Styela clava: one gene and its partners. The protein of the gene in region 1 purifies or fractionates together with the protein of each later gene. This does not show direct contact. Links are inferred from orthologs where the notes say so. Each region holds a gene or a part of one and is shown on either strand. Other genes may lie near its edges.

Evidence for each region.
Region 2: the proteins of mitochondrial intermembrane space import and assembly protein 40-like (region 1) and cytochrome c oxidase assembly factor 7B-like purify together in Homo sapiens (co-immunoprecipitation; 3 studies listed by BioGRID and IntAct, with this or other methods). This does not show direct contact. The link is inferred for Styela clava from reciprocal best matches to the Homo sapiens genes CHCHD4 and COA7.
Region 3: the proteins of mitochondrial intermembrane space import and assembly protein 40-like (region 1) and mitochondrial import inner membrane translocase subunit Tim10-B-like purify together in Homo sapiens (co-immunoprecipitation; 4 studies listed by BioGRID and IntAct, with this or other methods). This does not show direct contact. The link is inferred for Styela clava from reciprocal best matches to the Homo sapiens genes CHCHD4 and TIMM10.

Annotation. Positions count from the first base shown.
Region 1 is NC_135258.1:10,888,211-10,895,561, forward strand, and holds mitochondrial intermembrane space import and assembly protein 40-like, read left to right. Parts: upstream 1-5,558; 5' UTR 5,559-5,679; coding exon 5,680-5,716; intron 5,717-5,792; coding exon 5,793-5,894; intron 5,895-6,333; coding exon 6,334-6,704; 3' UTR 6,705-6,717; downstream 6,718-7,351. Other genes in the region: pantothenate kinase 3-like, read right to left, coding at 1,344-1,541, 3,494-3,713, 4,255-4,482.
Region 2 is NC_135262.1:10,210,355-10,218,439, forward strand, and holds cytochrome c oxidase assembly factor 7B-like, read right to left. Parts: upstream 2,602-8,085; 5' UTR 2,405-2,601; coding exon 2,302-2,404; intron 2,154-2,301; coding exon 2,013-2,153; intron 1,724-2,012; coding exon 1,584-1,723; intron 1,343-1,583; coding exon 956-1,342; 3' UTR 865-955; downstream 1-864. Other genes in the region: NADH dehydrogenase [ubiquinone] 1 beta subcomplex subunit 9-like, read left to right, coding at 11-166, 231-368; uncharacterized protein LOC120332494, read right to left, coding at 5,187-5,297, 5,728-5,959, 6,224-6,364, 6,511-6,593, 7,138-7,260, 7,720-7,861, 7,965-8,035. UniProt on the Homo sapiens protein: Required for assembly of mitochondrial respiratory chain complex I and complex IV.
Region 3 is NC_135253.1:5,422,084-5,428,911, reverse strand, and holds mitochondrial import inner membrane translocase subunit Tim10-B-like, read left to right. Parts: upstream 1-4,831; 5' UTR 4,832-4,936; coding exon 4,937-5,007; intron 5,008-5,166; coding exon 5,167-5,362; 3' UTR 5,363-5,964; downstream 5,965-6,828. Other genes in the region: tRNA (guanine(37)-N(1))-methyltransferase-like, read left to right, coding at 247-391, 828-989, 1,081-1,204, 1,652-1,793, 1,896-1,994, 2,068-2,153, 2,251-2,444; uncharacterized protein LOC120326221, read right to left, coding at 6,133-6,186, 6,719-6,828.

The DNA of each region.
Region 1 (7,351 bases):
AAAATGGATACAATTTCCGGTGCTTCAGAAGTGTACGTACCAATATGGAGGTAACTAATTTTGTTCGCAAATTTTACATCAAGTTGTGTAAAGGGACTGAAGCCTATGGGCAGGGGGTATATTCACTTGGCTAACACAGACAGTCCCCAAACTCGTAATAGAACTAAAATAAGGTAAATCGGAATAAAATTATGGCCTAACCTTAACCTGGTACACACACTACAGGAGTACCCAAATTCCATTAGCAAAATAGGGATAGGATAAAGATAGATGAGAATAGATAATGATAGGTGCCTATTCAACAGTTTAATGACGGAAATAAACTTTTTTACATCTTTAAAATAAATAATGTAATGAAATAATTCAGATATCACAGCGATAAATAAATAAAATATAGGTATTTGCTCCGTAAAAAGCATTTGTCATTATGACATAACAAGTTTTTTTACAATTTCTAAAGCCTGTACCATACATATTCAGATATTAAAATACTCTCACTGATAGAGATTTATTTGAAGTCAAATAATAAAATCCTTTTAACCCTGCTACCTGTCAAATATAAAAAATTTTAACAAAGGATTTCATTGATTAGACAGTAACAATGGGGAACAGTCGTTAATTTTAACAACTTGAATTCAAACACGCCTCCATTTTCATGATTATAAAAGTAATTTCATTGGTTGCTATAAAAACATTACACTTGTGATAGTCAACGACACTGACACGCCTACACGCCCACAAAAATTTTCCCAGTATATACCTATACTAGTTTATTTTGTACTAAATATGATGGTATCCTGATATGTGATTGTGTTGTGAGACTAATCTAAAATAAAATTACGTTTAATTTTCAATTATATCTCAAAACAGATCAAACAACAATGACCACTTCAAAAATGATATAGAACACTCGATAGTAAAACACTTCAATTACAAAACTTTGTAAGTGTTGTGCACTTTTACTCTATAAAAAGCCTATAATGAGAAGTCACTTGTGTGTGGAAAAATCGTAACTTCGTAAGAGTGAATAAGAGTTTTGGTATAAGCTAATACGTATTCTTGTCTCGATCAAATTTTGTTATGAAGTTACTCCTTAATATATCTTCACCAGGTTTGATTTATTTTAATCAGTTTTGGTGTTTTTTTTACTTCATTTGATACACCTTCAGTTGCGAGAAGTACATCAAAGTTCTTTAACCAAATTTACTAGATATAGGATCTTCAAAAATACCTTAGCACGCACAATACAATTTCCGCAAACGATAGAATAAACTTGAAACACAGTGAAAATTAAGTAATCAACTGAATTTTTTTTTTGTTTCCAAAATTCTTCATCACAATACCTGAAACCCTTTTGCATTCTTGTTGTGAATATACCGCCATTATGCTCACACCCGATCCAATATTGCAGACGAGGTAAGGATAAGGATTTCGGAAATTGTATGGTTCTTTTTTCAGTCCGCCAGGGTCTAGGGGTTGTGCAAGAGAAAAACATTCAGATCTTCCATTGACTTCTGTATTGTGGTCGATAAAATGAATTCCTGTCGAAAACAGTAAAATAGTTACTTATTAACAAAGTATTTACAGTTGTATTTAAAGAGCAATTAATTCTGATATCCCAATCTAGAGTAACTATGAACCATTGAAGTTGCATAAAAGCAAATTTATTTATTTAGCACAAATATAACCGACGGTTATCCACAAATCATTTATGACATTAAACTAATATGCATTATGAAAAAACACAGTAAAAACATGCCACAACAGCAAAAAATATTAGTTAGTCATTCACTATTTATTAAGGGCTTGAAAAAATTTTGAAAATATCTAAATGATATTTGAATTTTTGCTTAGTTACAGTATTTTCTTAAAATTTTGGCCCTTTGGCAAAATAACAATGTCAAATACTTGAAAAATTTGACATATCTTGTGAATTCACATCGTATTTTAGTATGTTATTTATTGAACTTATTAATATTATGAAATTCAAATTTGAAAGCTGAATTCCATGATATGAAATCAACAAACTCCTATGTATTGAATTTGACTAAAATGAATAATACGACAATATTAAATTTTACCACGAATGAAAGAATCCTCACAATGCAACATTGAACTTGTTTATAAAAGCTTTCGAGGCTTATTAAAACAAACAAAAATCATCTCATAAGGATTGACTTGCAGTATACATCCTGATCGATCAGAACAAAAACATAAGAGACAGATGTACAGGCACGGAACTCTTTTCTTGGAGCATAACACATATTAAGGCTCTTAATCAATACTTGAAACTACATAATATTCTTAGGTGCATATAGTAAAAGATAGTACCGGTAATATAACTGGTGTCGTGCTGCAATCATAGTTGGAATGATGTATGTTCTTCATAATTTCATTGGTATTAGTGGTATGTTGGCAAAAGTATACCTTAACTAAGGAACTCCAACTGTATATTACATACAATGGATGAAAAAAAAATCTGGCTATTCTCAATATCAAATTATAAACTGTCATACACGCAAGTGAAAACGTACTAATTAAAATTGAAATATTTCCGCAAAAAATTGAAAATATCAATTGGTATATTTGGTCACAATATGAGAACAAAATATGAGACAAAGAAGAAAGACAACAATTTACATAATATGCGAGTTTATTCCATTCTAGCAAACAAACATATCTTATTAATAAGCTATTTCAACATGATGACGTCGGTATTATTAAAATATGTCAGTTTTATCAATAAGCTATTTGCAAAAATCTAACTTCGTTAATTGAAACCATAATTGCTACCACAAAAAGTTTATAAAAATCTTGATTTTTGTCAAGTTCCATAATACACTAAGACATTCCTGCAAAACACAAATGCCCGCTTACCTCAACTGTAGCTAGGCACATAATTAAACTATCTTTGGAAATATTTAGGGGTTCTCTACAAAGTTGCAATGTGCTATCTTTACAAATTTTTAATCTTTTATTTGGTTCGTCGTTCGTGGCATATCAACATTAACTTAGATCTAGGGTGTATTTAAAGATATTTGATTATTATTAACTTCTTCAATATAGCAACTACCATATATGATGAGTAGCCATTGAAGGGTACTTGTGGAAAAATTTTCAATTGACAGACTGAAGGGCAATTTGGGGAATTTCTAGTCTAAGAGCTAGGCTCTTGTTTCGAGGAACTTTCATGTAGGTTTCTCGTCTTTATTGAGTTGATAAAAATAGCAACGCATTAATTAAGTTTAAGAGTTGTAATTAATTTAGCCCATTGAATCATAAATTTTTGATTGTGCTACAAGAGCTGATGCGACAACGACAAGATTAGGTTACAAGAATCACATTCATTTTATTTTAGAGTGTGTTCAACATAATGTGTAATATGTCACCAAAATAGAATAAAATATAAATACTTGAAAGAGATGAGAAAAAAATTTAAAATCAAACCTCGTTAAAACTACCAGAATTAGTAAACAAAAAAAATTTTAATTACCCTTTATCAGACATTGAAATTCGTCCAACTTGTTGAGTCTTAGATTAATCTCCTTCAAAAATTTTTCTTCAAATTTATAAGCTCCTCCTCCAGTTGCATGACATATATTATGCATGGTTGAAAATTCTTTCTCTTTGACCATTCGAATAAAACTATCCATCCTGTGTGTTGGAAATCGAAGAAAGTGCATGTTGCCAACATAACCGTTGAATTTCAATCCCTGAAAAAGATCAAACTGTTAGAGAACCAGGGACATTGTTTGATTATTCTTCCATGGTAAAAGTAAAACTATAAACAGGGGGCACAAAATCAATGGAAAATTTAAAAAAGTACGGTAGTAAACATTTTTGATTTTAAAAAAACTTAAAATATTTTTAAATTTAAATTTAACCTCTGCCGTTCACATAACAAATAAACTGAGTTTTACCTCGTGCTGTAAAAAAGACTATTACGGTAATAATCAAAACAATGTTTATCTCAAACATTCTACAAATTCAATTCCTATTAATTCACAATAGCTTGTTATTAATGGTGACATCTCAAGATTGCGCTTCCTTTTAGTTCATTGCGCACTGACGGTTTGCCAATTTGTATCAATATGAATACCAAGATTGTCTCGTAAATGAGGGGTTTGCACTGACTGTTATTATTGATGTCTTTTAACCTAGGGGCTATCCTTGAAACCGGAGAACTGTGTTGATTTTATAACTTAAATGATTTTTTATACAGCTATATTAACAAAGCAACAAAAAACCATGAACCTTGATTTCTAAATGAGCATCCCGCACTCCAGTTTGTCCATACGCAATACTCGATAACAAGGTTTCACGAATTACTTTCAAAGATTCTTCTTCATCTCGTACTTCTTGTTTCGTCATTGAAGTTGGTTCAAAATAAACGAGTTTAACCAGAGTACCTCCTATATCAATCCCATACCAAGGAAATGGTTGACGTCCTTGTGGTGAATTTGTGGCATCGCTTGTAGCCATTTTTATATAAATAATATAAAATACTAAGGAATAAATAGCAATGTTAAGCAACTTCAAGACCTTATAGATACCTCTATTCTATGTTCGACTCTTTTTTCTCAGTATGATTTAATGTTAGACTCCGTCTTAGGCTGTTAGGTGATGCTGTTCGATAACCATCACTGGTTCATTGCGTCTCATTTCACACTGAAATGCATTTCTCTTATCTTCTTAATTATGTTTGTACAATGTGTGCTTTCGGCATGTGATAAAATAAACTACTGACCTCAGCCGCTGTAAGTTGTGCATCATTCAACATATCAAGGGGTGATACAGTGATACCGTACCTTATTAATGCCAATATCCAAATTTAGTACATGCATTCATAGCATCACAGACAGGGCGAATGCTGCAATATCAATCAAGCCAGCCTACTTTGATACTAAATTTTATATAGCCTAGTTATAGTTTTAATTGGACATTTCATAGGCTACATTCAGAACCACATTCAATTTGATCTAAATTTAAGAGGGACAAATTCCACACCACCAAAGTATTCATTGCATTTTCATTATTCGAAGCCCTCTAATAACATTGGTTACCGTACTAACAATACAGCAATTTAAATCCACGATCAAATTGAATAGATCATTTTATATGTTAGTACCCGGTACTACCGTACACAGTACACACAAGTCACACAATCTCGGAGCGATAAAAATAATACAAAAATGCAAGATCGTTTAAAAATCAACGTATTCTGAAATAATAAATATGCCCAGTCTTTCAATGGCAATGCAGTAATAATGCAATTTCCATTAGTAACATTAACGAAAGAACGCGATACCGGCGTTGTCGAACGCGAATTGAATGGTGATTTTGTTTTGGTTGGATTTTGGGAAACGCGGTCCGCGCTTTGCTTGCGCATCATGACTCATGAGGTACGAATTATTGCTCTCTGTCGGAAGCTAGAGGCTGTTTGAAATGATGCATATGGCTAATTTTCGTACTTTAATCTGTGTGACAAAATTACCCAAGAAACATTTTAATTACCACACTTTACTGTAATTCGATTTAATTGTATATGTCTTTTATAAATATTGTGAAATTTTAATTTTATACCCTGTCTAAATAACCACTGGGGCATATCGGTGACTGCAAACAGTGAAAGTCACGCTGGTCTGGCAGGTGCTCCGGTTTAGAAGTTAGGGCGCTTGGATGCTGATAAAAGAAATGTCCTACTGCCGTAAAGAAGGTTAGTTTCAGTTATTTCATCTAAAAGCTATTCTCACTCGCATGGAATATGACTATAAAATGTTTTGTTTGTTCAGGGAAAGACATAATAATATTCGCGACAGAGGACGATTTGTCCAGTCCCAGTACGGTCACACTTCTCCCGGATAATCCCAGCGATGTAGATACCAGCCATGAAGGTTAGCAATGCCTTTTTTATTATTTGAATGCTCGAATATACGAGTATAGGTCGTAAATCAAATGTTATAAGCAATTTATCCATGGGATTTGAGCTTGACGCATATTAATTACATTATTTCTATAAGATTCAAACGGTGGATACCCCTACTGCCCTATACTTAAAATTTGTACCCGTCTCAAACCACATTATTAATGTCCTCATCAAGTAGTGGCTATATTTTTCATGTTTAATTTTCTTGATATTGCATATGACTTGATTGAAGAATTGTTACGAATGCATATCTTTTTGACTTTACAATTCCTGTACTTATTTCTGGCTGCCTAATATCAAGGCCACACACCATGATTTTCCATATAGTTTCGTCGTATTTCATTTGCCTTGTGGTATGGGTATGAAATCGTATTGTAAAATTATTGACAATATTTCATTATTCCTAGGCGCAATACTTCCGAATGGAGATATAAACTGGGATTGTCCATGTCTTGGAAATCTACCAAATGGACCTTGTGGCCCCTCATTTCGTGAAGCTTTCACATGTTGGGTGGAAAATCGAGACGACCAAGATTCTTTTGCGGAAAAATGTTTTGATAACTTTTCTAAATGGGAAGATTGTTTATCAGAAAATAGAGACATTTATAAACCATCATCTTCAAAGCAAAATGACAATGACGATAATTTAAATATTGAAGCTAATGCTTTAAATGAGACTGAAATTGAGAACTCAAATGGTTCAGAAACGGTTAATATGAAGACCGAAAACAGACCTGCTATTGCTGCTGCATATATCGGAGATTCTAAAGAAAAATGAGTTTGTTTGCGAGGTTCTGTATTAAGACAAGTTTGATTGGTATTTTCTGGAATACTTTGTTACATTTTTTTACACGATTCCACAAGTGAGTGAATGCTTTCAAAGTGCAGTTTCCCCACTAAGGGCTGTTCTTATCTATTATTAAACATAACTGAATTGTGGCCGCTGGGTCCTAAGTGCTTTTCAGCGGTACTCTCACATGAACAAATGCTAGTCCAATCTTTTGCGACTACGGCTTTCTAACAAAATAATAAAGTCTCATTACCCAGTTGAAAGAAAATTATATATTTGAAAAACAACAAATTTTTAAGTGCTTAATTCTAGCCTAAAAACACCATGCGAAAAAATGATAAATAGAGTAGCATTAAAAGCAAGCAGCCTGGACTAGTAATTAATTATATAAGGTGTGCACTTAAGTGTTTATTTTGTGATTGGGGGGGGGGGGGGAGCATTTTATACTTCCCAGGCCGCTAGATGAAGGCAAAAAATTACTTTAAAACCAGATGCTTGCAATAGAGATAGTTATTACTAATAGGTAACACTGCTCGCTCCACTGTGGATTTTTAAAAATAAATATTCTTTATTAGGGAAGAATGAATTTTTTTGAGGTATTTCCGATACCACAACATCGATAGCAACATTTTATC
Region 2 (8,085 bases), on another chromosome or scaffold:
GTAATAATAGATTCCTGAGCACTACATCGAATTTTGGAGTGCAGAAGAAAAAGCTATGTTTCCCGATTTCCTTGCCAAACGAGAAAAATGGATCGAAATTCGAAAACAAACCTGGGAACAAGAAATGAAAATATTGCAAGAATGGGATAAAAAAAATATTGAAGAAGTGAGTACTGATTCGAGAATTTAAGTCATTTTATTGTTCTACTGACATCCCTCGTTAATTTCAGGGAGTTCCTATGACTGACCAACTACCAGCAGCTAAGGAGAAAGACGGATATCCGCCTTTTTGGTGGCACACTGTTACAAGGCCTTTAGAACAGCCAGAGAGAATGACATGGTTTCCAAGAACAGCAAATACATCTTAAATTTCACTTTTTTTCTCTCTATCAAATATAGGTTTTTCTTGACTTGTGCATATGAGACTTGCTTAAAACAGTGTTGCATTTGTTGGGTCCTAACTTGTAGGTTCAACCGTTATCGACATGAATCTAGCATAGGCTTGCAAGTGAGGTTTCATGCATCGCACCTACTACAATGGATCAAATTAACAACATTAGTCCTGTTCGTGCATCTGAAACAAATAACTGGTTACCGATTACAATACCAGACACAAGGCTGTGTGTGGTCTGTGATATGGTTCAGGCACACCCACGGCACTGGTTGGAGTCCCTTTGTTCAGGCTACGCAATCTGTTTCATATTGAGGTACCCGAACCACGGATCTGCTTAACTCTTCTTTCCTGCCAGGTGCTGCGGATTCTTACAATTAGTTTCTTTGAATTCTAGAGAAACCCCTGCCTAGCCTTTCAGAGTATTCAAGTGGTAGGTTCAGCATCGCCAATTTGTTAAGACACCAGTTGAATAAATATTTCTGATGCGAACGGCTCGGCATTATATTATTACAATATTTTATCCTAACAACACAAACACAGCATGTAGCGTTACTATCACAGTTAATGCGCACCAAATTGTAGTGAAGTATTTCCTTTTAACAAATCAAGTTTTTTTGCTTTGTATTCATCAGCTTTTGCCTGGTTCTTTGGCACTCCATCTCCTCTTTCATGCATCAGAGCCAAATTATGACAACCACCTGCGTCTCCTAATTCACAGGATTTTTCAGCATATTTAGCAGCTATTTTAAAGTCTTTTTTGCATAGGTTTTCAAAGCCTGTCATGTATAATTGGCTTAAAAAATTACAACCCACAGCGTCATTTAGATCACATGATCTTTGAATCGCTTGTACAGCATCAGTAGGTAGATTACTGATTTCAGTTTTACAGTCTGCTTTTGAATAATCAACTTTTTCCTTTGTTGTGTTCCAAAATTCCTCTCTTAGTTTCTGTAAAGAAGATGGTATTTGGGTATGCAAAAATGATTTATTGGTCTCAAACACTCCATCCGAAATATATGAGTTGATATATCATCTTTAACATAAGGAACATGGCTGAAAACCAGTTTGTTCAACTTGCAACATAGGAGTTCTAGAGCCACAATGTGACATGTATTCAATGCAGTAATGGTGAAACTAAAGGACTAAATTTTCTACAGATTGATTTGACTAAGCGTTCCTAATTACTCACTGGAAACTGCGTTAACAACAAGCCCATGTTGCAACAGCTTGCTGCAATTCTGTCATTTTTGCCTTCATCTTTAGTCTTGGTCTGGATACATGCAGTTCTGTAAGAGTCGAATGCCCCAACCTGGCTTTTTGCCAAGCCACCTGAATTTATATATAACTCGTAAGTATGTACAAAATGATGGGGATTAACTGCAAAACTTCAATAAGAGGGACAATTTTGATATAGTAGTATAGACATTTTTTGATATATTGGAATATATGATTTGGTTGCGACACAGTGGACACAAAACAGCATGTAAATTACATGAAAAAGTCCCAACACCATAAGAGACTATCTATAATTTTCAAAACAGTTCTAGGGCTCAGTTTTTCAGTGATGTGGATAATACTGTAATATGATAATCCTACACGTAATGCCTATGTCACTCACCTTTTCCAAGCATATAAAATTGACCAACTTTGTAACAGCATAGTGGATTCCTATATGTTTGGCAACATGTTTTGTAAGCAGTGCCTGCACCTTTGTAGTCCTTTCGCACGACTTCTAGAAAGTTGCCAAGCCTGGCACAACCTGTAGTATTATAGACAGTAGTTAGTCAATAGTTTTGGAGAACTTGTATTAATTTTTTCATGTTTTCCCAAAAAATTCAAAGAAGCTTATCATTTACCACTGACTGCAGCACTAAGTTAAATTGTTGAAGGTATAAAACAGCACTCACTGTCTGAATTGAACTCTTTTTCGCACCCAAACATAAATTCAATCTCGGTATTTTGCAAATATTCTTTCACCTCTTCCTCATTTTTAAAATTAATTTGGTCCATGTCGCATTTGCGCTGGCCCCGCAATCACGCTTGGTAGTACCGGTATACTTGTAGCAAGGTATCTTCTGTTGCTAACCCTGGCAGTGTTCCCTTTGAAATAAAAATTCCACCCGAAAAATATCCCACAAGAAATATTCCTGAAAATTGCTACAAAAAATATTTGTTCTTAAGAAATTTATGTTGAACATCAATACATGCGCTCCTTGTACCGTACCGTTAAAAAGTGCTAAGCAGTCATTCAATTGTTCCTAAAACAGCGAATGTATGTAAATGCCTAAAGGAGGAGTTCCCAATTTGGGGTACATCTCGACATAAGGTGCGAAAATAGTCTTTCCATAGCTTGTAATTTGTCTTACAATATTATCATCTGATTTAAATAATTTACCAAGAAAGAACTCTTTAGGAAGTCACAGTTCATTCAAAGTAGAAGCTGTAACCACAGAGAAGAAGAATGCTAACCATCTGTGCTGTAACTACACCACAGTAACTAACAAGCTTGCTTTCGTAGTTCCCATGACCTATTTTGACCAATCACAGCACGCAGTGCAATTTTCGGGGTATGCTACGCAAGCGAATCCTAAATTGTCTAAAGCAGTAGTTCTTAACCTGGGTTCGATCGAACACATGGGGTTCGGTGGAGCTGTTCCAGGGGTTCAACGAAGATCCTCCGAAACAGTTTCATATTATATGATTGTCTATTACCTATTCCACTAATCATGCAAAAATAACTGAAGTTCATCTCAGAAATTCAAACTTACACCTTCAACAAATAATAAGTTAGCTTAGCTGTGTGTATAGCTTCGCGCAGATATAAGTTTAAGTAGACCTGTCGATGTTACACTGTAGCGAATGTGCATTGTGTAACTATGGATTATAATGTATTTTACCCTTTCATATTAATAGCATGTAATATTTCACAAACTAGGCCGCATTATGTTTCGCAACAGCGATAATGCATTCGCTCCATGTATTGCCTTTCTCGTTTCGACCAATTTGATAACGTATCGTTTCCGGTCTGCCGAGAATGCTCTATAATATTGTGCTTTTCTTGTTCACTCGATTTATGACTTGGATCTGACCGTAATCTTACTGCATTAGGAATTAAGTGTATACAACTTTATCTGTACTTGGAATTTGGATCGTGCATCTTTTCAATAATATACAACAATTCGACAATCATCATCGTGTGCTTATTATCGTCTGAGGGAATCCAGATTGGAGTCACATTCCATAACACGTGAAATTAATAACGTGGGAATCGAACTTTGAATATTAGGGTGAACAGTCTTTATCCCTAAGACGCACTTGTCTCCCTATAACACCTTTGTTCCCAGTACATTTCATCGAAAACTTCATAGATGTCGTACATTTAGTCATATAATATCCTATATCTATTTCCGTAAAATAAAACAATTGGCAAACGCTTTTATCCGAATTTCAATGCAGTTTGAGAAACAAATTACTTGAAATACCGACGTTTTTGATGCATATTGGCATCTTTCGGATTTTCAAAGTTGCTTTTTATTATCAAATTTTCACTTATATACACGTTTATTAACTTGAAAAAAACATCTGCTTCCTTTGGCGCCGACACTTTTGTGACAAAACAATGGCTATTTCCACACGGGGTATTGATATATATCTAAGGTTACACACGATGTTCATTTTCTATAACCTTGCACAAAATTAACTTCCTCTTTAAAAGTTAGGATTGGGGAGATAATTTCAACCGTTCAATGCGATGGGGTTCGGCGGCAGGGATTCAGCAGGCTCGCAAGTTAAGAACCACTGGTCTAAAGGGTAACGACGAACTGAAAGTTAGGGAAACCCTGACCTAAAGTTTGGCACTAACCCCATGATATATCGGCGGAATATATTTTTAATACATAAAGGCGGAGATGTACCAATCAAGCAGTCATTTCATGACCCTTTTTAGTTAGAGATATAACTTTATTTCGATTCCATAATCCGCATAACAGACGATAAAGTATTTGATAAAAGTGAATAAATCAAAAACTGATTATAGAATCAAGAGAGCAAACAAAACAATACAGAAAGATATTGCATTGCATAAAATGATTAATAAAAAATAAACGAAAACAAAAGCAAGACCTTGAGCGAGGCAAAGCGAAGGTTTTGTCATAAAGAAGTGATACGTTTTCATTCACCTGCAAGTATTGATTCAATTCACACACAACCACAGAGGTAAAATCTTAAACCGTTGAAAATTTAAAACAATTGGTAGTTAACGAGAACGGCGTTTTTTCATACACAACAAGAAAAAAAATTCACACAACAACAAAATTTTGACTTCGCGCCCGATAACTTGACATTCTGCTATTATTTTTTCAAAAATTTTGGAAAGCGACGTTAGAAACTAATGGGTTTATAACTTCCAAGATCTGAAATGCTACCCTTTTTGAGAAGAGGAAGAAGAACTTTGGCTGTCTTGGAATTTTGAGTAAATATTCAACTATTTTGAATGAAATTTCATCGACTCTCAAACTAGACTTAAGCTTCATTTTGCGTATGATGTTTTAAATTTCCAACGATGTGATGGGCTCGTGGTTCGATAAAAACATTCGTTACGTTAGGAATGAGCTACTTTCAAGGCTTCGTGATTTTGCTCCATTTAATCATTTCTCAGAACCGACGTTGGCGCACCGTGCTGAGCGTTAGGAACATGCTTGCCATCGCACCTATGCTCACCCTTGGTGGGATCAAATCCCGTCGGAGGCAATTGTGTCCTAGGTGATTGGTAAACTCCTGTCGTCTTATTGTGCTAACGTAACCGCTGGTTGGTAAGATTTCCTCCAGCAGTTAATTCATGCATTTGAACATGGACTGGTAACCAAACGAGATGCCATATGATTAAATCATTTTGACTATTTATCTAAATGATCATGCACTGTTTTAATTTTCACAATTGATTATTAGAATTGTTACAAATTACACAGATAAAATTGATGGTACAAATTTTGTACTTATTACACACATACGAAATATTTAATAACGATATGATAAAGGCTGTGGCTGTAAGTCATACCCAGAAATATCATATTTAATTAACTACTACTAATTAATTAATCGAATTGAATAGTTTTGTTTTTCACAATAATTATTACTTTCAAATTACAAGTCGCCATGATGCTGATAATTCAACCATACACCACCAATCATACTTCCATCAGCAAAAACGTATATTTCAGTTTTAGGAAGATTGAAACTTAAATGGTTTTCGGTGAATTTTCTTATCCGAGAACTGTGTACATAACATATGAAAATATTGCAAGCATCACAGCTAATATTATTCCCAATCTTACTCTTATTTGTCTATCCATACGGCTTTGGAATCCGCAATCGTGCTCCCATTTATTATTCAAAAGTTTGTGAATCATATCCGATTTTATGTTCTCTCTTGGAAAAGGCGTATCCGGATATCCGACGTTCAAAAAGTCGCACAGTGGCTTCCAGCCATCTTTAACATTGTATATTAAAAGTTTTTCATTCGGACAAATTGATTTCACATAAAGATTATGCTGTCGATATCGAGATCTAGGAAAGTGAAATATGACATCGTTGAAGCTGGTTCCACTTCCATTACATTTGAACCCACGACAATTGCACCTGTATACTATTGCACCTATATAAATTTTTTTTGTTTTACGGATATTTGAACCCATACTAACCCTAACCCATGGGTTTTAGCACCCACAAATAGATTGGACCCGCGGATATACACATGGGTTTAAATGTACGGTCACCATTGAAGCTGCCCATCGTGCATACATAGCCTACATTAGATTTTCAGTAACTTACCTCAGAAACGTTTCAGTATGTGATCCATACATTACCGGCAATCCAAGACAGGCCGGTATAAACGCTCTTTGCGTTTTATTGAATTCTCTGGCAAGTGGTCCCGCAAATAGTAAAAGTATTCTGAGTAAAGTTTCATTCATTCTAAACGAATAAATATACCATACGAATCCTGAAGGTTAAATCGACAGTGGAGATTAAAAGTATAGTCATTACTTCATTAAAAGAATAGTCAAAGAAATCATTACTTCGCAATAAGTTACAATATGCAGTTTCTTCCATTTACTCACGTTACATATTGGTTTGCAACTTCAAAATGTTTTTTCATACTTTCGTACCACTCATCTTCTGTCGAACGAACCGTCAGAATTATCTATAACAAAAATAATAAGATCACAGGCTTTTTATTCTTTGCGCATAGGAATATCAGTAAAGTCAGTTGTAGCTTAGTTGCGCCACACATACGAAACTCGGAACCACATGGTTCATAAATACCAGATATCTGTCCAAATATAACATACGAAAGTCGAATCTGCGCGATCTTATATATTCGCCTAGAATCTGACTTCACGCATTTGTTGTGAACAGAATGATCCCGTTACATAGGATGGTACTGAACTAGTCGAATTCACCAAACCTTAATAAATCACCTGCAATCAAATGAGTTCATGAACTAGCATTGGCGGTCTGAGAAGCTGTGTGATTTTTTAAATTCTGTTATAATATATCTGCTATATGCAAGCGAAGTCACTCAGCGGATATGTTATATTCAAAACTGGGGTAACTTAAAAAAGATCGGAGATAACTGGGATGACACCTGAAGCTTAAATAATCACCAAATGAATACTATCCATGCAATCAGTTTCAGTCATTTGTGATTTACGTTTCCATTCGCCAATTTATTTGAATTTTCTTACTTTTGCATCTGGGAAAGCTCCCATTATTTGCTCCCAAACAGCAACAGCAGGCCAGTCCATTACTGCATCAATTTCTCCCAGAAATTTTTGGTAGTCTTCCACGGATGCCGAGTTCTCGAGAACCTGCAATTTGATGTAAACATTGCAAAAATTATAACGCTACAGAAGTGTATAATTCCACATAAATTGCAGTGATGCAAATTTTACAATACTGAAAATAAGTGTCCGAAATAATGTCACAAATTCGGACACAAGAAACATATGTATCATACATATAAAAACGTACTTCAGACAGTTGGATTCGAAACGAGTGGATCCGCTTCCAAATTATTAGAATACCTATGTCTTTATAAAGGAAGCAATTCATAATCACGTAAGACAATATAGCTTGCTGCTGTTGTGGCGCTCCAGAAGCGTGTGTACCAATATGGAGGTAACTAATTTTGTATATTCACTTGGCTAACACAGACAGTCCCCGAACTAATAGAACTAAAATAAGGAAAATCGGAATAAAATTAGGGCCCAACCCCAATTTGGTACACACACTACGGGAGTACCGCCGTTGCTTGCTCTATTACCAACCTTGTCCCACAACTCTTTTTCGTAGAAAAACTGTTCAAATACATCATGTACATTATAGCCAAGTATTCTTAATGCTTGAGCCATAGTTTTTGTACCGGTTTTCTGCAGTCCTGCACATATTATCTTCATTTTTAATCCTTGCCTGTAGCAATTATCCGACAGTTGTACAATAATTATCACGACTAGCCAGTTAAAAAGTAACATGTACATTCAAGAATTGATCCTATACGTTCACCAAATCTTACCATTTCGCGTTCGTAGATTGCCCCAATATGGATCTATGAATTGTTGTGCTAATTTGTTGTTGAATGAACATAAATTACACACAAATGTCATAATATGCTCAGCAAGCTATCGACAAGAGTT
Region 3 (6,828 bases), on another chromosome or scaffold:
GGCTTAATGATATAGTCAACCACGGCTGCATAGTGAACCCCAGTTGCCAGTGCATGCTGTGTATGAAAATAGTTAACTTGTCTCAGATGCAAAGACTTAAATTGTACCAAAATAGAAAGAACCTCACAAAACAAAGCCATATGGAATGACTTTTATTGTGCAATGAACTTAAAATTGACTGTATGCATATCATTGAAACATATGCCTTGTTTACCTGTTGGTAAATATATTTTCAATATATTACAGGTATGATGTATACAAGCACCAAGAAATTATTGGTGCAGTATTACCTGAAGGACTAGATTCAACATCGGGTTTTGAACGAGTCGGTCATATCATTCATGTCAATTTATTAGAACATCAAATGCCATACAAGAAATTAATTGGTCAGGTTAGTTATATCTTGGATTGAAGTTTGTTATTAGTTTGATATATCGAGCAACGGTTACTATTTTGACAATCTCATGCAAATGTTAACCAGCTTAATTTTCTGAAATGGTTTGATGAAGATTATTAATTGACTGCTTTTACCATATTTAAACTCATATTTTTCTCTCCATTCAAAGCTCATAAATGTTGATTATGGTTCTTTCTGGAATTTTTCAAAATGGTTTTTAAATCACTTTGTAACATTATGCCTCCGACAATATTCAAGTTTAACATGAATATATGTGCAACTACAGATGTTGCATCTGCCCTAGATCAATTGAGTGAATTATTGTGAGTTGTGACTGTACTTTGATAAATTATTTCAGAAGGGTTTAATAATTAGGAATAATTCTCATTCTAACTCGCAAATGTGATTGTTATCAAAACCTTATTTTCAGGTACTTCTTGACAAACACAAAGCAATCACAACTGTCGTGAATAAATCTTCAACTATTGACAATACATACAGAAATTTCCTAATGGAGGTTATTGCCGGTGAAGCAAATTTTGTTACCAAAATAATTGAATATGGCAATATTTTCGAATTCGATTTTTCAAAGGTTTGTTGTTAGTAATGATGCAGAATTTATTAGTACTGTAGTTTTCTATTCACATACGAGTATCTAAACTCTGGAGCCCTTTTTCATTCAGGTTTTCTGGAATTCAAAGTTGCAAACTGAGCATCAGAGAATAGTGGAGTTGATTCCAAAGGAATCTGTTGTCTTTGATGTATTTGCAGGAGTTGGACCTTTCTCCATACCACTTGCCAAAAAAGGTATTAAGGTAAACTACCAATCAAAGAACTCGCTGATAGTACTACCCAAAGGGTTTAAATTCGACAATTTTTCGTTATCACTTTTACAAAATATTTTTATGTATTTGCTATTTTGTTGACTTTTGTAAGTTGTATCATGCTGTCGTTTTGGAAATGGCATGAATATAAATTATAATGATCTTGTTTTCCATTATTAAATTTTCGTACTTCAAAAATGGGATATGCAAAATTATTAAAATTCATCCACCACTGTAATACATTTCAGAATAAAGAAAAAGTTTCAAGCTACGACCCTATATGCTGAGAGTGAACATGTTCCTCAAATAACATTTCAAGTTTGTTAGATTCTCTATTTAAATGGTTTTGTAGCAGTTTTCCCCTCCATTTTACTGAAATCAAGTTTTTTTTTTTATGAGTTTATGAAAATGAATTTGATTATGGCAACAGGTTGTGAAGTATATGCAAATGACTTAAATGAAGAATCATACAAATGGCTTTTACACAATTCAAAACTAAATAAAGCGAAATTGAATGCATTCAATATGGATGGCAGAAAGTTTATCAAAGAATGCTTGGGAAAACATTTGCAGTAAGTATTAGGTATCTTACCACTAGTATTCAATACCCCAGGGATGGTGACTGAAAATGAATTAACCCATCTATCTTATCAATTGCATTTTAACTTTTATAGATTGTCATCAAAAACAGAGACAATATGTGTTATAATGAATCTACCGGCACTGGCAATAGAATTTTTAGATGCATTCACAGGATTGGTCAAGAATATTAAGTATGCAACATTGATAAGGAACGGTTTAGCAATCGGAATGTTTAATTTAATTCAATAATATTTTATCATTTAGTCGAGCTGAAGACAACAAGACATCAAGTTCATTACCTCCAGTGACTGTTTATTGTTATGCTTTTTCATCTGCTCAAGATTTAAAAGGTATGATTCCTATATAATTAAGGCTTTTTGTCAAATTTAAGACTTTCTGACACAATCTTTTGCACTACTACTATTCTTAAATATGTATTTATTTTAGGTGATATTAAAGAGAGAGCAGAACAAAGCCTCAGTGAAAATCTTCCTGAACATAGTATTCGGGAAGTCAGAAAAGTTGCACCAGGAAAATACATGCTTTGTTTATCTTTTGAAATTCCTTTTTCTCTTTTATATGAACAATCAAAAAATGGTGATACTGATGAATCGGAATGTAAAAGAATAAAACTATCATAGTTCGTATTTTTGTATGTTGAATTTGGAAAAGGCAATCATGCACACATTTTATATCGATAAATACACTGAGCTGCTCATATTTTCATATTTAAATTTGAGGGAAGGCAATCCTGATAAAATGCAGTATTTTATATCCATGTGTTTTCTACTGCCTTATAACCACACTGGACTGCAGCTATATGGATTGCAGAGGCCTTGTGTGTGTACACTGTCTGTAAACTAGCGTGTCTTACATCTATGCAGTTTGAAAAGGATAATAACATACATGTTTGATGACGATTTCAGATGAACTTTAGGCTTGATGAGTAACAGTGGTTGGCGGTGAAGTCGTGGATGTCTCTGATGCGAATGGTTTTCACAGTCCAGTGAGATTTTTTTCCGGGAAAGCCAGGGACAATAATTTAGTTTCAACTCTGACATGTGACAAATGGTAGAAATTAAATTCTGAATATGATCAAATTTAGATTAACAGAGAATGAGTTTTGAAATTAATATCGTATCTTGTTAAGTTAATGCAGTTACTTGAATCTGTCTTCTGACCAGTGACTGGAGGCGAATGTTTTGAACAAAAATCGGTTTGGAACCAGGATGTTCAGATGCCCAATTTTGAATCGAGTATAAATTTTGTGTGCTTGGTTTGTTGGTAGTTGAGATCGTACGCTATCCACCAATTTCCTAACTTAATTCTAAATTATGTCCTCCATCTAGGTTACTCTGCAATTTAGTTATCTGTTTTCGCCTACAATATTGTCTTTTATCGCTTTAGAGGACCCGAATTAGGCGACAAATTTTAACAAAAATAACACGTCGTTAGACGAGAAACTTCAAATGTACAGGTTAGCAATGCAATTTGTATATGTCGCGGAATTGTTTCGAATATTTTCGAGTCTAGTCATCAAAAAGTTTAAATCTGTAAAACAAAAATCAGGCTTTCCTGAGACGTGGGTGCACCAGCCCAGAGATGCCATGTGCTATTTATAATAATTTATTGGTTTACGCTGGCGCACACGACAACGATTGCGCAACAAGTTTTGGTACAAATTCAGTAGATTCAGCCAGATTGTAGATTGAATCGTGGCAATTGTAGGAAGCACTGACTTGAAAATAGTTCAATTTATATTCAAAATAGTATAAATATTCAAGTTTCTCTAAAAAATTTGTTCAAATTGTTTTTGAATTTAATCATTGTTTTTTGGTTTAAATCATTGTTTATCCCAAAATTGATATACCCGTTGCCATCTGGCATCTATGGAATTGTATAGTAATTTTGCGAAATTTATTATTCCATTTCAGTCTCGCAGATTCGCACGTGTGTTGCTTCTATAGTCCATTTCGCAGTTACACTTCTGTTTTCGGTGATTTTCTCCATATTTAGATTTGCTGCAACTATCCTACTCAAGGACCAATTTTCATAGGTCTACTGTGATCGTCCAAATACAAGAGATACTCATGACGCCATAGGTATTCATATGGCAGTATTGCCCAGGTGCCGTCTGGCCTTGGTGAGTTATTAACCCTCAGAATTCGGGTTTAGTACGGTATAGTTTTGTACCACAAGTACTTCCGGTGGGCGTAGCATAACGAATTTTGCATATGCTATTCCTAACCCCCACCTGACTATGTCATCCAAAAATTACGTCACTACGACGTCACCCTCACGTCATAGGGATTGCCAAAGTATAATTACGATCGCCCGAAATGACATCTGCGCCGCCGATAACGAACTTGCTAAAGCCGGCGATCTCTCTCCTATAGTGACCGTTGTGACGGGAAAATGAGAGAAATTGCTTGCTCGATTTCGGGTGATGGTCTGTGCGTTTTGGACGAGCATCCGCATACTTCGGTGGGCCTTATTACGCCACTGTGACGTCGAAATGACGTAATATTTCGGTGACGTAGTCAGGTGGGGGTTAGGATTGACATATGCAAAAATTGTTGAGCCAGGTCAACTAGAAGTACATGTGGTACTGAACTATACCAGACGCCAGAATTCAATCACAGATGGGCTTAGTGCATGAAAGCTGTAATAGAGTTTTTATTTTATCTGTTAACTTATGCAGTATATCGAGGTACAGTTGGTGTTGCCTAGTATATTTTAGAGGCGTTCATGTCTGGGTTTGGGGCTTCATTTCCATCTCTGAAAAAGGAGCATAGGTATTGAGGCTAAGAGCTTTATTCGAATACCGTATGTCACATACTATCATTTATTACCAGAACTTTGTCTTTCAATGTAAATGCAATCTGATTTTCACTTTACTATATCAGTATATGTTAATATATGCGATATGCATATATTATTAGGCCAAGAGACGTTGAAAAAAAACTTCCTATGCCTATATACCGTTAAAATGCTGAATCAAATTATTACTGTTTTCTGCTCAAATTTTACATTGTCACAGGTGTTCCAAACAACAGAACAAACTTTTTTTTCTGCATTCTAGTCTAATTCATTTTTTAAATAGTGTATTTGTGCTCTTCAATATTTACAAACAATGAATGTAGCTCCTGAACAACAATTGGCTGCTGAGCTTGAAGTTGAAATGATGACTGATATGTACAATAGGTAAGATATTTATTATTTAACACCTATACTTCAACACGGTATGCAGCTAATCCTAGTCACGCCTTTTATGCAATCGATGCAATATTTGAATTTATTTGTGTTTTTATAGATGACATTTGGACTAAATTCACTAAAAATATAATGACTTTTTTTAACCAGAATGTCATCGGCATGTCAGAAGAAATGTATCAGTACCAGCTACTACGAAGCAGAACTACAAAAAGGGGAATCTGTTTGCTTGGATCGTTGCATCGCCAAATATTTTGAGATTCATGAAACAATTGGCAAAAAATTAACAGAAGCTTCACAAGTAGAAGATGAAACAATGAAGAAAATGCAACAACAACCTAATTGATAAAAACAGCCTATAATGTGATAAGCTGTGTAACTTTACAAACAGATAATATTCTTGGTGCAAGACACATGCAATTATTCAACAAGGAGTTATATGAGATTGCACATGTTGTTTGATAAAACTGCATAACGGCATTTCTCATATATGTATTTTGGTTTGTGCGTATAAAGACAGTTTAGGAATCTATAGTTCTGGATATCGAAAGCAAGGCTTTTTGGCAGGTTTTCGCCAACAAAGGTAAAGCTTCTATGAAATCAAGTTACACTGTTTAATAAAGCGTAATTAAAAGTAGGATCTTGAATATCATTTTGTTAACCAGCCTATTATTTATTTACAATAAATTTGTTTCTTTGATAATACAGCGCATCAGCGATGTAAGTTATAGAAAATATTTGGATAACCACAGAGTCGCCCATAACTTATTGCACAACATTGCAAGTCTAAGCGGTGATGTAGGAACGGTTGTCATGAAATTAGATTGTGCATTTCCAGTTGGCCAGTGTTCTGTGTGTGTGGTATTTTTGTGCAAATTAGCCATTCTAATATGTTGTTCAAACTTTTTGTATTGTTTTAATATTTATTAAAATTGAACCTAAATGTTATTATGGAGGTATTCATTTGGCACTTATGTTCCACTTTCACACAGTGTAAATAAGTTATATGTCAAAAGGTATATACAAATAACATATGAAAAATAATTGAACATAAATAGGTAATGACAGATCACGGTCAATATAATAATGTATGAATAATGCAAGTTTAGCAATGCTTTAAAACTGGGATTCTCTTTTTTCTCTCTCTTCCCACTTTGTTAATATCATGTCCTGTAAAAAATTAAAAAATAGACAAAGTAAATGTTTGAGCCTTTCACATAAGTTATTGCTCACCTTATTGGGTTTCTTATCCAATAAGTACTTTCACACCGCTGAATTTCCAAATTGGTTATTACAGTTTACTCAATTTTCATGGTTTGTTGGGCGCTCCAGAAGTGTATGTACCGATATGGAGCCAACTAATTTTGTTTGCCCACTTTACATCAAGTTGTATAAAAGGACTGATGAAACCTATGGGCAGGGGGTATATTTACTTGGCTAACACAGACAGTCCCCAAATTCGTAATATTCAACCGGAACGCTTGAGGAAAATCGGAACAAAATTATGGCCTGACCCTAATCCCTGGTTCCTGTACTACGGGAATATTGATTGTTCTGCATACAGTCTATAGAATTCATATTTGCAGAGTGGTTCATATTTTATGACTGCCACTTGTGACTTCACCATACATGTCTATGTATCTGAACCCAGACTAAGATATCATTTCCCCTCTTACAGGATAATATGAAATCCTATTCTAACCTTTCTTGTTGTCAGCTCTGCACTGTTTACTCTCCATCTGTTATATGTTGCATTTACTGATGCTACTTTTGACCCTGGACTTGAAGTTGCTTTCCTTATTCCTGGCTTCA